2 linked regions of the Saccharomyces cerevisiae S288C genome follow. The protein of the gene in region 2 purifies or fractionates together with the protein of the main gene of each other region. This does not show direct contact. Each region holds a gene or a part of one and is shown on either strand. Other genes may lie near its edges.

What was found.
Region 1: the proteins of COA1 (region 2) and COX15 purify together in Saccharomyces cerevisiae (affinity purification with western blotting; 2 studies listed by BioGRID, with this or other methods). This does not show direct contact.

Annotation. Positions count from the first base shown.
Region 1 is NC_001137.3:451,761-455,419, reverse strand, and holds COX15 (Cox15p), read right to left. Parts: upstream 1,962-3,659; coding exon 501-1,961; downstream 1-500. Other genes in the region: MAG1 (DNA-3-methyladenine glycosylase II), read left to right, coding at 1-274; EMP65 (Emp65p), read right to left, coding at 2,185-3,659. UniProt on the Saccharomyces cerevisiae protein: Catalyzes the second reaction in the biosynthesis of heme A, a prosthetic group of mitochondrial cytochrome c oxidase (CcO).
Region 2 is NC_001141.2:46,329-49,242, reverse strand, and holds COA1 (Coa1p), read left to right. Parts: upstream 1-1,700; coding exon 1,701-2,294; downstream 2,295-2,914. Other genes in the region: ubiquitin-specific protease UBP7, read right to left, coding at 1-1,152; ATG44 (mitofissin), read right to left, coding at 1,270-1,482, 1,545-1,553; AIM20 (Aim20p), read right to left, coding at 2,428-2,914. UniProt on the Saccharomyces cerevisiae protein: Required for efficient assembly of cytochrome c oxidase in the mitochondrial inner membrane. Involved in a step coupling MSS51-dependent cotranslational insertion of COX1 to the addition of its heme A and copper B cofactors.

The DNA of each region.
Region 1 (3,659 bases), on a different chromosome or scaffold from region 2:
TCCTGAAGATCTAGGTATTGCTAGGGGTTTTTCAAAATACCTTTCAGATAAGCCAGAATTGGAAAAAGAATTAATGCGTGAAAGAAAAGTAGTTAAAAAGAGTAAGATTAAGCATAAGAAATACAACTGGAAAATATATGACGACGACATAATGGAAAAATGCTCTGAAACATTTTCTCCGTATAGGTCTGTGTTTATGTTCATACTTTGGAGGCTCGCGAGCACAAATACAGATGCCATGATGAAGGCAGAAGAAAATTTCGTGAAATCCTAACTTAAAGATATCATGTATTACTGACATTTATATAAGAAAAAAAAAAATAAAAATAAATACACCCTATTGTTGTGTGTGATGCCTACTAAAGAAATTCATATTTACAGCTTCTCGTAGGGATACCAACATATAATAAGAAAAAGCCTCACACATACAATCCAACCATTGGAGCGACAAAGCGGAAAAGCGAGTATACTGTCAATTCTCATAAGAATACCTTTATCCATTATAATGGTTTCGAGGCTAACTTCGACGCTTCACTTAAAATTTTACCGCTAGTTACTTTGCTTGAATGTGGCAAGGTAATGATTACGTTTCTCATCGGAGCTCTTGGCTTCCTTAATTGAGAGGCAAACACCAAAGAACTTGTTAGCAACGCCAAAGCACCAGCTTGATGGATAGAAGCTAACGATATTGGGACTAGGTACAATATAGTTAAAATACCAAGTGTTGCTTGTAAAGTAACGACGCCCATCATAACATGCAAAGAGGTCATCGCGTTCCTTGGAATTACGGCCTTCTTTTTGATAGCGTACATATGAGCAGCTAGTACTGATGTAAACGCAACGTACGCACATGTCCTATGGACCAACTGAACTGTAACCGGGTTTTCTAGCAAATTCCTCCACCACAGATCTTTCTTGTCCTCTCTTCTACAGAAGTTTTCGTCCATTAATTCACGAGAACTAGGGAACCATCGTTCACCCATTTTTGGCCAGGTGTTATAGACCCAACCAGCATCCAAACCGGCAACCATACCGCCACTCATAGCGGTAAGGAAAGACACCGCTAACAAAGCTAAAGAAATCTTTCTCATTGGGCCAATTGCGGGATTATCTAATTTTTTGAAGAGACTAATGGCTTGAACAGGGTTCTTAATCCATTTACATTCTCTCAATATTTCCAAACCAGTCCAGAGCATACCCATGTATAAAAAGAAGGCGGTACCCAAATGCGTAGTAAGTCTATATTGAGAAACGGTAGGCTTTGATTTTCTTGCGTCTAGTTGCTCTTGATCAAGACCAGACTTCACCATCCACCAACCAACAAATCCTTGTAATCCTAATAAACCTGCGAGACCAAACAACCTCTTATTGACATGGCCTGAAGTTTTTTTAGATACAGCGAAATAAACTGCAGGTAATATAAAAACAGCGCCGATAGCACGACCCCACAATCTATGAATCCACTCCATAAAAAATATAAACTTGAACTCGTCTAAATCAATGTGAGAATTCAACAATTTAAATTCTGGTGATTCCTTATACTTGATAAATTCTTCTTCCCATTCCTTCTGGTTCATAGGGGGCAAAGTACCTGTGACAGGTTTCCATTCGGTAATACTCAGCCCCGATTCTGTTAGTCTAGTCAACCCACCAAGAACAACAATACCAAATACCAAACCGGATGTACCTATTAACCAGTAAGCAACATTCTTCGAGGTCTTCAAACGTGATTCTATAGGGTTTGATTCTGAAGCAACATGTGGTTTAAAAACAGGGGAGGAGAGAGAAAATGGACGGATGCTCACAGTTTTCTTAAAATTATATAGTTGAGTCTTTCTGATTTGTTGTCTGATGGTAGAAATATTCCTTGAGGCCCCAATACTTTGCCAGGCCAAACGACTCGAGGTTCTCGTTAATAGCTTAGCTGCCTGCCTGCCCACTTCTATGTTTCTGAAAAGCATGACGTACAGTAGTTACAACTTCAGTGCTGTGCACTATTATATAATACAGTTCCAAGTTACAATAGGAAACTAAATAAACGATAAAGGAAAGATCAATAATTCAAAAGGCAAGAACTTATAAACTGCAAAACAATAGCTTTTTAGTAAGCAGGGTTTCTTTTTTGCTCCTTGCAATATACGAAATATCCGAAAGCCGTAAGCCGCGATAAATGCGGATCTTAGATTACCATATTCTTTTAGAAACCATTTTATAGCGAGCGACATTTTCAAGCGATCGTGGATTCTTGGAATCTTTCTGTCTTCTAATATCATTTAGGCTAGGAGGAGTACATTCAGCAGTTAAAGTAGTTTTTCTTTTCCGCATTGGCGATACACTTTCGGTCTCTATACGATTCTCTTTATTGTAATCAGAATGTAATGCAATTCTTGTAGACACGTCGACTTTACCCATACCGCCCGAGAGTAAACCTGGGACGTATTCTTCTTCAGTTACAACGGTATTGAAAGCTTGGTCTCTGAACCGTTGCTCTATCCGTTTGCTCCATTTGATTAAAATAAGATCTAGTGTAAATTTTGCCAACAATGCTAGTAAAAACACGGATGCCCCCATGAAGAGGATCCTAAATAGCGAAGGAAGGTAAGAAGGTTCCGATGATTTAAAAAGTGTTGGCCTCACCATTACAATAAAAAGGACAACGAATGCAGGTAAAGGCAATCCCAATCTATCTTCTAATTTGTGCGTTCTCGTAGAATAATCCTTGTATATTATATAATAGAACTTATCATATATCTGTGGGCGGATCCGATTGAATTTTGTGATGTAAGCATGCTTTGCCCAATCCACTAACACTTCACTCCCTACCACGCTTACCATCGGCCCACAAAGTATGTTAATGACGATTGATAATGTGGAACGTGGACTCCAGAAATTGATGCTTGTGTTCGATAATGAAGATGACCACGACTGGAGGTTCCTAAGGCCAGTTATTGACAATAATAAGGTCAACTTAAATCTTTCCACTACGTCTGCAATGGTTATTTGGAAAAATCCCTCCTTATCAAATTTCTTTAAAACCGATGATTTGATTTCTGCAAATTGCATGGATAGTAATAAAGTTAGCAAGGCATTGGAATACGAATTCACGGCTATGTTTAATGAAATGGCCTGGTAAACCAATACATAGCCGTGTATAGTCACATATGTCAAGCTCATTGACACTAACAAACATTTATGCAGTAATATCCGTTCCGAGTTTTTCCTAGAAAGCATAACCGTTAATAAGCTCTGGCCCAAACTTGCCAACATTTTGTCCGCCATTTCCAGTACACTGAATAGCATGTACAATTTCATCGTACTTTGCCGTTTTATCCTGTGATATAGTTTTGAGGTGTCTAGTTTGCTCAACAAAATGGATGAAATCACGATGATAAAAATCATACATCTCTCTTTATATTCTCTTGAAGTTATTCTATATCGAAAGGGTATTTTATTCTTATGCCCAGACCGTTGTTGCAGGCGATAATGCTGACGATAACTCTTGAATTGCTTTACATATCCCTTTATCAGTCGTATCGGTAATACAGTAAAGTAATACAAAAAACAGTCCAAGCTTGTTAAAAGTGCAAAGAGCATGAACTTTTCCAGGAACATTGGTATTCTTATCATGTTGAGTAATTGTTCCAATTCATAATCATCCT
Region 2 (2,914 bases):
CTCATTCTCCTTCAGTAAATGTTCCAATATGTCATCCTTGTAGATAGGTGTGTTCGTCTGCTTGTCCCACAACAAGTTTGGATCCACATTCACTAAGTTCGGAGCCACAATGTGATTTATTGCAGATCTTTGTGGTATTCTCAAGTCGATGAGTAAAACCTTTTCACGTTCAACGCGATTCGATAAAATACTAAACAATTCTGGTGCTGTGATTATACTCTGCTTTTGTAAAATATCCAAACTCTGGATGAAGCCATCATTCTCAACGTTGAACAGATCATCATTGTCTTCCTTGAGGTTGCCGCTATCCACCATATAAACAGAATGGTAAGAATCCTTTCGATGAGTTACTGATCTATCTGCGGTTATTTCTCGAAATGGTGGGTTCAAAGATGCGAAACTAGTGTCATCCTCGTGGTATATGGAGGGTACATCTTCCAATAAAACAGATGGTCTCACTGGAACACTTGTCTTTCTTTCAGGCTCACGAAAAGCTGGCGTTGGTATCACTTCGGGCAATAAAGCCAGTTTCAATTGGTCGTTGGGCTCTAAGTTTGGTGCTGTCCAAACAGGTGAAGATTGTTCTGCGTCGTCTTCAGTAAACGTGCCTTTGAGGCCATGATCTTGCGGTGCCGCGGTGTCAAGTGATAGTGAAGCTACCTGACCTGAAAGATCGTCAGCTGGAACTGAAAATGCCCTCTTCTTGGTGATTCTGTGCTCAATACCGGCCCCGTGTTTAACCGATTCATCTAGGACCACACCGATTTCTTTCTTCACCATAAGCACAACATTGGTCATGTTCATTTCATTCTCATACATCTTTTTTAGATCTGTATAGATGCTGTAGGACTTGTTTCGTGTTTGGAACTGCAAAGATTGTGGAATAATTAAGAACACGTAGTAGCATCCAATGATAAACGCTGTCAGTGCATCGTTGGGCCTATCGTGATGGATTGAATCTAGATATAACTCGAATAGGTACTCTGTATGCTCCAGAAGGTCCAGCAGCTTCTCCAGTTTTAGCTGCGGATAGTAGTGCTTGATATCTTCGTGGTACAGGTCCTGGACCCTTCGCAGTAATTCATTTGAGTACTCAGGCGTGAACGGCGTTATATGTGGATGCATGGCCGTGCCCTTATCATCGTCTAGCATTTAAAGTTCTATGCGTAATCGATAGCGATAGCTCTTTAAGTTGCGGTTATTAATTTTGGCCCCCGGCTGGGTGCCGTTATACAAAATATTATCAACATATATAGAATATAAACGTACCTATTTCCTAGCGAAATACGTCGAGGAGCCACAAGTGGCAACAGAATAGTCGTATACAGACTCTCCCAAGTTCAAGTACCGCTTCATGTAGTTTCTCATAGTCTGATTGTCCAGAGTCTCCAGTTTAGGCGTCAAACCTGTATTGCGTTTAATCCCCGCGAGGCACGTTGATACCAAGACCAAATCTATGGATATGTGTACTAGTTTCCCTACCTAACCAATTTCTCTTGTTAGTATTACCGGATGCGTTGTTAGTAGCTCATTTGGGTACTTACTAATGTCATCTCTTTGCGTTTTGCTTGTTCTTGTTTTGATCATTGTGGAGAGAAAGAAAGCGCCTTCTTGTCATTTTAATCCCAGTTTTAAAACAGTTCGATCTTTCTCTCCGTACCAGTCCACGACATAAAAGTAAAAGATAAAACAGACTATACATGATGTTAAGACTAGTAACTAAAGGGTTGCCGAAAGTGACACCTTCTGCAGCTAAGGCTGTGCTAGTGCGTGGTTCCTTGCTGCACTCATTCTCTACCAGCGCTAGATTCAATAATAGTGTCGCTGAAGATGAGGCCAAGATCGTTTTGAAAGACAAGAACAGGCCATTGAGAATTGACAGAGAATTGCCTGACCCAACCACGGAGAGGAGAAAGCGAATAGCTGGATTTTTGTTGTTTTCTGTGGCCATTGGGTCCGCACTATCTTTGATCTTCAACTATGAAAAGACGGAGTCCCCCATTATCTCCAACACGCTGTATTATATAAGACGGTCTCCAGCAACTAAAAACATACTGGGTGAGAGCATAGAATTTGATGGTATCATCCCTTGGGTCTACGGTGAACTGAACTCTGTGAAGGGTAGGATTAACATTACGTTTTATATCAAGGGGGACAAAAACGTTACTGGAACCGTTAGACTGGTTGCCGATAGGAACACTCACGACGAAGAGTTTTTGATTCATGAATGGAGCGTCACTGCCGCTGGCCAAAAGATCGATTTGCTAGCTGAAAATACCAAGACACCAATTTAATAGCAAGTATGGTGCTATTTGTCTGTAAATATCCTTTATTATTATTTTATTTTTATCGTTATTACAAGTGGTCTGGGTATCTATACAAATGCAAAACTATGTAGGTACGTTTATATATCTATATGCATATATATTAGTGTGGCCGTAAGCTGTCAATAAATTCTCTCTTGTTGACAGTATAATTCGTAAAATCGTTTTCATATGGGTCATCCAGTTTTATTTCTTCGTGTAACGCAGTATTTTCTGTGCTCGATGACAAGTTTGACGTAGAAGCTGATCTCAAACTACTCGTTTCTTTGCGCGATAGCGTCAGTGGATACATAAAACTATAGGAAGGATCTCTGACCATCCCATAATTCACCTTTTCGCCGCTGAAAATGACGGGGACATTGGTATATGCAGTGCTCTGCTTTTTTGGACGCAAAGTCCCCATACTAGCGTTCAATTGCCTTCTGTATGCTGGTGTGTACCCTGCCTTGGCGGTTTTTTCTTGGCAGGGTTTAAGATCCTGGTTTGCTTCCTTTTCGTTTATCGTGGAAGCTTCACTTGAGCTGTTAATTTCGGCTTTAAAACCATCATATACCGACACTGCCACTTCTTCCATTACCATCTTCTCCAAA